Linked DNA regions of Ovis aries. The protein of the gene in region 2 interacts with the protein of the main gene of each other region in a pairwise test. Links are inferred from orthologs where the notes say so. Each region holds a gene or a part of one and is shown on either strand. Other genes may lie near its edges.

Region 1 (4,967 bases), on a different chromosome or scaffold from region 2:
AGCTGGGAGGGAAAAAAAGACAATACTGCAGCTTTGAATAATATGTTATGGAATGAGGTTCGTGACATTGTGCAGGAGACAGGGATCAAGACCATCCCCATGGAAAAGAAATGGAGGCCTTACAAATAGCTGTGGAAAGAAGAGAAGCGAAAAGTAAAGGAGAAAAGGAAAGATACAGGCATCTAAATGCAGAGTTCCAAAGAATAGCAAGAAGAGATAAGAAAGCCTTCTTCAGCGATCAGTGCAAAGAAATAGAGGAAAACAACAGATTGGAAAAGACTAGAGATCTCTTCAAGAAAATTAGAGATACCAAGGGAACATTTCATGCAAAGATGGGCTCGATAAAGGACAGAAATGGCATGGAGCTAACAGAAGCAGAAGATATTAAGAAGAGGTGGCAAGAATACACAGAAGAACTGTACAAAAAGATCTTCATGACCCAGATAGTCATGATGATGTGATCACTAATCTAGAACCAGACATCTTGGAATGTGAAGTCAACTGGGCCTTAGAAAGCATCACTACGAACAAAGCTAGTGGACGTGATGGAATTCCAATTGAGCTGTTTCAAATCCTGAAAGATGATGCTGTGAAAGTGCTGCACTCAGTATGCCAGCAAATTTGGAAAACTGAGCAGTGGCCACAGGACTGGAAAAGGTCAGTTTTCATTCCAATCCCAAAGAAAGGCAATGCCAAAGAATGCTCACGCTACTGCACAATTGCACTCATCTCACATGCTAGTAAAGTAATGCTCAAAATTCTCCAAGCCAGGCTTCAGCAATATGTGGACTGTGAACTCCCTGATGTTCAAGTAGGTTTTAGAAAAGGCAGAGGAACCAGAGATCAAATTGCCAACATCCGCTGGATCATGGAAAAAGCAAGAGAGTTCCAGAAAAACATCTATTTCTGCTTTATTGACTATGCCAAAGCCTTTGACTGTGTAGATCACAATAAACTGTGGAAAATTCTGAAAGAGATGGGAATACCAGACCACCTGACCTGCCTCTTGAGAAACCTGTATGCAGGTCAGGAAGCAACAGTTAGAACTGGACATGGAACAACAGACTGGTTCCATAGGAAAAGGAGTGCATCAAGGCTGTATATTGTCACCCTGCTTATTTAACTTCTATGCAGAGTACCTCATGAGATACGCTGGACTGGAAGAAGCACAAGCTAGAATCAAGATTGCCAGGAGAAATATCAATAACCTCAGATATGCAGATGACACCACTATTATGGCAGAAAGTGAAGAGAAACTAAAAAGCCTCTTGATGAAAGTGAAAGAAGAGAGCAAAAGAGTTGGCCTAAAGCTCAACATTCAGAAAACGAAGATCATGGCATCCGGTCCCATCACTTCATGGGAAATAGATGGAGAAACAGTGGAAACAGTGTCAGACTTTATTTTTTTGGGCTCCAGAATCACTGCAGATGGTGACTGCAGCCATGAAATTAAAAGACGCTTACTCCTTGGAAGGAAAGTTATGACCAACCTAGATAGCATATTCAAAAGCAGAGACATTACTTTGCCGACTAAAGTCCGTCTAGTCAAGGCTATGGTTTTTCCTGTGGTCATGTATGGATGTAAGAGTTGGACTGTGAAGAAGGCTGAGCACCGAAGAATTGATGCTTTTGAACTGTGGTGGTGGAGAAGACTCTTGAGAGTCCCTTGGACTGCAAGGAGATCCAACCAGTCCACTCTGAAGGAGATCAACCCTGGGATTTCTTTGGAAGGAATGATGCTAAAGCTGAAACTCCAGTACTTTGGCCACCTCATGAGAAGAGTTGACTCATTGGAAAAAACTGATGCTGGGAGGGATTGGGGGCAGGAGGAGAAGGGGATGACCCAGGATGAGATGGCTGGATGGCATCACTGACTCAATGGACGTGAGTCTGAGTGAACTCCAGGAGATGGTGATGAACGGGGAGGCCTGGCGTGCTGCGATTCATGGGGTCGCAAGAGCGACTGAGTGACTGAACTGAACTGAACTGAACTGAACTGAATATTAAATTTCCTGATTTTGAAAAATAAACTGTGATTATATAAGAGTATGTCCTTTTTCTTGAGAAGAACACAGTATTATTGCTGAAGAGTCATGATGTTTGAAACTTACTCTCAAATAGTTCAGTAAAAATAAAAGAATAAGAATGTGTATGGAAACATTTTATATATTCCATATATACTAGAGATTTAAAAAAAGCACGTGGTTAAATGTTAACAAAGAGTAAATTTAAGTAAAAGACAAAGGATTTCATTGTATTACTTTTATGACTTTTCTTTACGAAGATCAAATAATTCATTTTTATTAATTTCATTTTTCTATAGCTTAGTTTTATTTTTGAAAATTTTAATTTTATTACAGCAATTTATTTTAATGTTTATAAACAAATACTTTAGAAGATGTTTTATAATATGTCTGTACATTTTTGTGTTTGAAATGCTTTATAGTTCATCCCATGGCTTATGAATGCTATGTTATGAATTGCTCATAAAAAATAAAATACCATATAAATTTCAAAATACCAATATTACTATTTGCTTATGTGGTTCAGTCACTAATGGAGTGGGAACCTTTTAACTCTTGAAATTGACAAGTTCTACCTCAGGGAGTTGCTAAAGGAGCTAAAATAAAAACAGTGAGCCTGTGGTTGTCGGAAAGTCAACCTCTGTTGACTGTCTCAGCCTCCTTGCTCCCTCCGTTTTCTGCCAGCTACCTCACAAATGTTTGAGTGACCAAAAGATTAAAGTGTTTGTGGTGGCTTTTTGTTTCTGAGATTACAGACATGTGCAAAAACTGAAATCTCCTGTGGCCAGTGCAGTGTCTGTGGAAAGCCACTGCCCAAGTCAGTGGCGCCATAAAGGAGCGCTGTGACATTCTATCTCTGGGGTATGCCTGTGTATGTCATAGTGGCTGAAGGGGACCAGGGACCGTGTCTCTGATTCCTTTTGTGTATCTCAGTGTTAGCATCTGGTGTACTGGCTGGTTGCCTTTCATAAAACCTCTTTGAATTCTAGGCACACTGATGGTGTACCTGCTTTTAGAATAAATGAATGTGGCCTGCCAGTTTCCTCATACCTGTAATGAAAAAAATTCAATGATATCAAAACTATGTCTTTTTGCAGGTTAGGTTGATGACTGGGTTTGTTGCATTAATGTCATCAACAAGTTAATGTTTTCCTCTTTAAAAAAATCTAGTGTTGTTAGCAGTGAGCTGGAGACTAAAAATTTTCCACTTAAGTTTGTTTATAATCAAATTATAAAACATATTGTTTACAGTCATGAAAAAACTGAAAATAACTTTTATGCCCATTAATACAAAAATGGTTAAATCAGTAACTGTATCCATGCAGCTCTGAAGTGATTAAAGAGATTAAGGTAAGTCCGTATTTTCCAAAATTGAAAGATTTCTAAGACATATTTAATGTATTACTGTGTATTCATACAAATAAATGTAAATTGCAATTCATGTTAAAATTACAAAGGAGTAAATATAATCTAATCAGTGCAAATTATATAATTTCTTTCAACAGCTGATATGCATTCAGGATGGTTACCTTTCCCTGCTAACAGAAACTGGTGAAGTCCGTGAGGATCTTAAACTGCCAGAGGGTGAACTAGGCAAAGAAATAGAAGGAAAATATAATGCAGGTGAAGATGTACAGGTAAAGACGTATGGGGAGATTTTTTTTAAGCTATTTTATAAAAGCTTTGACCTAAATTAGTTAGCATAAAATACTATAAGAAATACGCCTGTTAAATACTGCTGAAATGTTGAAAAGGAACTCTAGAACTAGGCAGTTTCCCCAGGATACCGTTTACCATGCCTGTTTCAAAAGAAAGTATCAAAGTTCATTTTTCACTACATAGACACTGTCAACCCCAAATTTGTTTTGAAGGTCAGTCTGAACTATTCTGAAGGATGAGAAAGGATGTTACGGGAATTCTAAAGAGTGAAGGTGATTTATTTTATCTTTGTTATAACTTTCAGAAGTATAACATCTAAGTATTGCTGCATTTATAGTTCTTATTCTCCTGTTCCCTGGAAATTGTTTTAAAAACCACAGTTTTTAGAAAACTATATAGAAAGATGATTTGATCTTGGAATGCCTCTTTCCAAAATAAGTATGTATAAAACATCCACACATACTCACCTCATCCTCCTTCCCTCACTGTATCCACAAGTCTGTTCTCTATGTTTGGAAACGTATACATGACCACATGCAAAATAGATGAGCAGTGGGAACTTGCTGTATGATGCAGGGAGCTCAAACCCAGTGTTCTGTGACAACCTAGAGGGGTGGGAGGAGGGTCAACAGGGAGAGGACATAGGTATACCTATGGCTGATTCCTGTTGATGTAAAGCAGGAACCAACACAATATTGAAAAGCAATTATCCTCCAATTAAAAATAGATAAATTTTTAAAAGTTAAATAAGCAGGGTGAAAAATAGATCCACAATTATCCAGTGTATGATGAATTAAATATATCTTATATAGATATTGCCTTTTGAATAACTTTTTACCTGCTTTTTTTTTCCTTCTAGATATCTGTCATGTGTGCAATGAGTGAAGAATATGCTGTAGCCATAAAGCCCTGCAAATAAATGGGAACATCAGGCATGACCAAACTGTTTAGGTCTGGATCAACTACAGATCTAAAGTTTGGTTCTAAGTTGTCACCAAAGCTATGGCCTTCATAAGCAACCTCATTTCTTTTTCAGTTGTTTTGAAATTGTGCTGAGTTAGTTTTGTAGGCAATTAGTAATTTAAAAAAATAATCGAGATATATGACTTTTTTTTTTAATTTTGTAGGTGTCTTTACTATAACATTCCTGTGGTTTTCAGTATGTGAGTCCAAGAAACAGATGCGATAGCTTCAGCAGATGTGATTTGAGCAAATCATTCCTGAATTTTAGTTAAATGAGAAATAAACCAGGGTTTTAAACAATGTAGCATCCAGTGGTATTGA
Region 2 (5,414 bases):
GTCCTGTCCCCCATCTCAGTTTGCCTGGACCAGTGCAGTTGTTTGGTCTCCCCTGCCCTGCACACCCTGACCCCATTCTACTCCAGTAAGTCAGTCAGTGGGATCTGTTAAATAAATCACATTACAACATGGATGAAACTTGACGACATTCTGCTAAGTGAGATAAGCCAGTCACAAAATGACAGCTAATACATGATTCCCCTTATGTGAGATAGTAGTCAAATCCCAGAAAGCAGAATGCCAGTTGCTGAGGAGAAAGGGGCATGGGGAGTTGTGTTTAATAGGTACGAAGTTTCAGTTTGGGAAGATCAAAGAGTTCTTGAGATGAATGGAGGTGATGGTTGTATAACAATGTAAAGGTACTTAATGCTTCTGAACTGTGGACTTAAGCATGGTTACAGTGGGGGACTTCCCTGTGGTCCAGTGGCTAAGACTCCACATTCCCAATGCAGGGGGCCTGGGTTCAATCCCACGGAACTAGAACCCTCGAGCCATGACTAAGATACAACATGCTGCAAGTAAGACCCAGTGCAGTCAAATAAGTATCTTTTAAAGAAGAGACAGACTACAGAGCTTTCTCTCTTAAAAAAAAAAAAAAAAAGTTACAATGTTAATTTCATGTTATGTGTATTCTACCACAGTTTTAGAAATTGGAAAAAATAAATCAGTCTTTCATTTTAAAAACTCTCCTATGGTTTCCCAGCCCGAGAATAAAACCCACCCTCCTTACCACAGCCCACAGGGCCCTGCCTGGTCTGGCACCTTCTGTCCTCTCTGAATCCTTTTCAACCCCTCCTTCATTCTTCACGGATCACCCTGACGTCTTTGTGTGTGTTTCATCTATTTTTGCTGAGATCCCAATGTGTGCCCAGCACTGCACAGAGTGAAGAGAACAGCAGCGAAACCAGACAAGATCCTGCCTTCACAGAACTGTTGTTCTAGTCAGGAAGGGATGAACAACAGCAAACAGAATATAACGTGTACTGTGAAAAATAAAAGCAAGGTAAGAGCAAGAGTGGGTGGTCAGGGCAGGCCTCTTGGAGGAGGTAACATTTGGATTGAGGCCCAGAGGAGGAGGAGCTGGGGAAGCAGGTGTTCCAGGCAGAGAGAGCAGCAAGTGCACTGGCGCTTGGTCAGGAAAGAGCTTGTTGGGTTCTAGAACAGTCAGATCAGTGGAGCTGGAGAAAAGTGAGTGGGGACAAGTGGTAGGGGATGAGGGTAGGTAAGTCAGTGCCTTCTTAGGCCACAAGGAAGAGCCCGAGTATTACTCTTACTGGGAAGCCACAATAAGAGGGTTTTTCTACAAAAAATTATTTATTATTTTTGGCTGTGCTGGGATATTTCTACCTCATTGCTACCCGGCCTCAGGGTACTCTTCATTGTGGTGTGCAGGCTTCTCATTTTGGTGGCTTCTCTTCTTGCAACGCATGGGCTCTAGGGCACGTGGGTTTCAGTAGTTGCGGCTCTCAGGCTCTAGAGCACAGGCTCAATAATTGTGGTACATGGGCTTAGTTGCTCGGAGGCATGTGGCATCTTTCCGACCCAGGTGTCAAACCCGTGTCTCCTGCATTGGCAGATGAATTCTTTACCACTGAGCCACCAGGGAAACACACAGTATATAGCGCAGACTCCATAAATTGTAGAGTGAGTGATTACAGGGATCTCACCGGACTAAACCCTATGCATGGTTAGGAGGACCCATGAGATTATAGACCCCACCCTCCAGCATCTCACAGGCTCGCTAGAGGGAAAGAGATGTCAGCCATGGATCCCACAGGAGATCCCTTACCCAGAGGAAAGTCAAGGAAGATTTCTCAGAGGATATGGCAGCTCAGCTGCCAGAGAAGACCAGGGGTTATGCCGCATATGGAGGCTCCAGAGACTCGCAAGACACGAACAGCGATCACGGTTCCATTTGACGAGAGACTCTCCGAGGCAGAAACTGTCTGATAACTCCAGGTGATTCGAATTCCGTCTAACGGCAACGTCTGAGAAACCATTCTCTCTTTGAGAGGGTATACACGAACCGGCAAGCTCCACGCAACGCGGTGGGTTTCCAGCAGGCGGCAGTAAAAGTAAAAATCATTCATCGGCGGCCGGGAACGCACGGAATAGAAATAATGGGTCCTCGCGGCTTCCGTATTACGGACTGTACAAGACAAGATGGCCGCGCCCTGGATTCCGGGCGCGGCGAGTCACGTGATTACACAACTTCCGGCACTCCCCAAGTGTTCCCCAGGCCTTGAGTCTCCTGCAGAAGTGCGTGCCGGGGCCTAGCGCAGTTCGAGGCCGCCAGAGGGCTGGCCTGGGGCGGCTCTGACTTGAGAGTGCAGCTGCAGGACCATGGAGGGTCCCCCTGAGAGGGAGGCGCCCGCGGCCGCGCTGGCCGCCGTGCTGAAGCACAGTTCGGCACTGCCTTTCGAGAGCGCGCAGGTCCGGGGCTACGACTTCAACCGCGGCGTGGACTACCGCGCACTGCTAGAGGCTTTCAGCACCACTGGTTTCCAAGCCACCAACTTCGGGCGCGCGGTACAGCAAGTAAACGCCATGGTGAGGCCTGGGTGAGACTTCCGGGGCTGAGGGGGAGTGGCCTCCAGTAGCACCCTGCGGTAGCTGGGGGCGGGACTTCTCTGGGAGGTGTGTTCTTCGTCCAATAGTGGGAGAGAGTATGGGGCCCGGGAGTTTCTGTTCTGGGGAGTGGTTGGGACTGATTCTGGGGCGGGGCGGGGAGCGGGCGTTATAGATAATAGGTGAAAGTATTGTGGAAGGGGCGGAGCCTGGGCTAGAAAGTCCATTTGAGCGAAGAATTGGAGGAGGACCCTTACACCCGCCCGGACCTGAGCCTGAGTTTGCATTTCCCCGTGGGGAGAGGGGTCGGGCCTGAAAAAGTGATGCTCTCGGATTCCTGAAAAGGGGCAAAGCCTAAGCATGTGACCTGAGACTTGGGCTGTGAACAGGGCAGAGCCTACACAAGGGTGTTCCTTCCCCTGTTCCAGGTAGAAGTGGTTCTCTGTCCTTGAATGGGCAGATCCTGGGCGGGGAGTCTGACACCAAAACCCACCGCGGGTCCTTGGGGTGGAATTTGGGGCCAGAGGTTAACTCAGCTCTGCCCATACCTAGATAGAGAAGAAACTCGAGCCTCTATCCGAGGATGAAGACCAACATGCAGACCTGACCCAGAGCCGACGCCCACTCACCGGCTGCACCATTTTTCTGGGCTACACATCCAACCTCATCAGTTCAGGCATCCGTGAGACTATCCGTTACCTCGTGCAGCACAACATGGTGGGACCTGGTGGGGGTGTGGCCTTGGGCTCCCCGCGTCTTAATGGGCAATAAGGTTACTGGTCATTTAAGTGAGATAGGGAGATATGGGTTAGTTTTGTTTTGCAGCAGAGGTCCCCACAGGGGTCACTGGATGAGAGTTGGGAGTTAGGAGTTCTGCTTGGAATAACTTCACTGCCTTGTGGCTGCAGGTGGACGTCTTGGTGACCACAGCTGGGGGTGTGGAGGAGGATTTCATCAAGTGCTTGGCGCCCACATACCTGGGCGAGTTCAGCCTCAGGGGGAAGGAGCTACGTGAGAACGGCATCAACCGGTGGGTAGGTGGGGGCTGAATGGTGCTGAGTAAGGGAGGCAGGCTGAGGGTCCTGGGCCCTGATGCCCATACATCTTCTGTCCCCAGGATTGGAAACCTGCTGGTGCCCAATGACAATTACTGCAAGTTTGAGGATTGGTTGATGCCCATTCTGGACCAGATGGTGCTGGAGCAGAACACAGAGGTGAGGCTGGAGCAACCTGGGGCTGGGGGAGGGTGCGTTTGCTGATGGCATGGTGGGTGTCAGGGGAGGCGCCGCTGCCTGAAGCCAATGTCTCCTCCTAGGGTGTGAAGTGGACACCTTCCAAGATGATCGCCCGGCTTGGCAAGGAGATAAACAACCCGGAGTCTGTGTATTACTGGGCCCAGAAGGTGAGGGACTGGCGGGGGCAAAGATGCCAGGTTTTTGGCATGTGTTGTTTCACTTTCACAGCCACCTGGGTAGTTGGTACTAGTCTCCTCATCCCTGCTCCTACATAAGGAGCCTCAGAAAGAGAAGTTAGGCAGTTTGTCTGAGGTCCTACAGCTATTGACTGTGGATCTGGTATTCTGGCTCTACTCCTAGACTGCTGGGAAGCAGTTGGAAAATACTTAGCAGCTCCTATGGGGACTCTTGGAAGGCTCCATGCTCCTCAGAGGCTCTGGGGTCTAGCAATCAGAAAAACAAGAACTATCATTCTTCATGTGCCAGGCCCAAGTGAAGTTAAGCACCCTGCCCAGAATCAGGCAAAGAAGAGGAAATGCCTGCAGGCTGCCCCTACAGGGGTTAGATCCGGCCCGCCTCCTGTCTTGCTCTTTTCTAGAACCACATTCCTGTGTTGAGCCCGGCACTCACAGATGGCTCGCTGGGTGACATGATCTTCTTCCACTCCTATAAGAACCCAGGCCTGGTCCTGGACATTGTTGAGGGTAAGATGTTGGGGCCCCGGAGGAGCAAGGGAGGAGGGCTGCCTGGGCCTGCAGTGGCCTGACTCAGCCCTCTCTCCCAGACCTCAGGCTCATCAACACACAGGCCATCTTCGCCAAGCGCACGGGGATGATCATCCTGGGTGGTGGCATGGTCAAGCACCACATCGCCAACGCCAACCTCATGGTGAGCAGGGATGCAGGCTGTGCGGCCCCTAGTGAGGGGTGGCACTTGTGCCTGCTGTGCAGACAGGCCTGTGTACTAGGCCCATGCCGTGTGCTGGGAAACAGTTGTGGACTAGACAGGCCAAGATCCCTGCCCTCCTGGAACTGATGTTCTAGTGGGGGAGATGAACAGCAAACCAGTGACAAGGTGACACGTACATCAGGTGGCAGTACTGGCTACAAAGAAAAATCAGGGATGACGACAAGAGGGCAGGAGAAAGGCATGCTATTCAGAAAAGGGAATGCTTCCTGGGAAGTGTGACCTGTGAGCAGAGGTTTTTCAGAGGCTGCTCCCATGAACCATGTGGTTATCTTAGGGAGTGGACATGAGATGAGTTTCTGGCAAGACTGGCCAGTGCAAAGGTTCTGAGGTGCCTGATGTAGGCACATCTTGGAGGCCAGTGAAGGGGAGAGTGAGAGGAGGTGAGGCCAGAAGTGACAGGCACAAAGTGCAAGGCCTTGAGGGCCACTCAGGTGCTCACAGGTACCCTCTGGCTGTGTGGGGAACAAACAGTGGGACTGGGGTGGGGAGTACAGAAAGGGAAGAGGTGCGGAGGTCTTCTCTAGAGTTGGTGGCAGATGTGGGTGGGCTCTTGGTACCTAGGAGGTGAGTCTGGAGCAAAGCCGCCCACTGCCCAGCACCCCATGACACCCCCACTTGGCCCAGGTGTTGACATGGAGCCCT

The links.
Region 1: the proteins of DHPS (region 2) and EIF5A2 interact in binary tests that used the Homo sapiens proteins (3 or more experiments, as listed by UniProt). The two-hybrid records come from large-scale screens. The link is inferred for Ovis aries from reciprocal best matches to the Homo sapiens genes DHPS and EIF5A2.

The regions. Positions count from the first base shown.
Region 1 is NC_056054.1:217,242,347-217,247,313, forward strand, and holds part of EIF5A2 (eukaryotic translation initiation factor 5A-2), read left to right. Parts: intron 1-3,529; coding exon 3,530-3,661; intron 3,662-3,895; coding exon of another isoform or gene 3,896-3,922; exon of another isoform or gene 3,923-3,955; intron 3,956-4,542; coding exon 4,543-4,602; 3' UTR 4,603-4,634; exon of another isoform or gene 4,635-4,967. UniProt on the Homo sapiens protein: Translation factor that promotes translation elongation and termination, particularly upon ribosome stalling at specific amino acid sequence contexts.
Region 2 is NC_056058.1:11,114,738-11,120,151, forward strand, and holds the start of DHPS (deoxyhypusine synthase), read left to right. Parts: upstream 1-2,219; 5' UTR 2,220-2,343; coding exon 2,344-2,550; intron 2,551-2,792; exon of another isoform or gene 2,793-2,996; intron 2,997-3,120; coding exon 3,121-3,285; intron 3,286-3,476; coding exon 3,477-3,598; intron 3,599-3,685; coding exon 3,686-3,782; intron 3,783-3,883; coding exon 3,884-3,970; intron 3,971-4,401; coding exon 4,402-4,507; intron 4,508-4,587; coding exon 4,588-4,691; intron 4,692-5,414. UniProt on the Homo sapiens protein: Catalyzes the NAD-dependent oxidative cleavage of spermidine and the subsequent transfer of the butylamine moiety of spermidine to the epsilon-amino group of a critical lysine residue of the eIF-5A precursor protein to form the intermediate deoxyhypusine residue.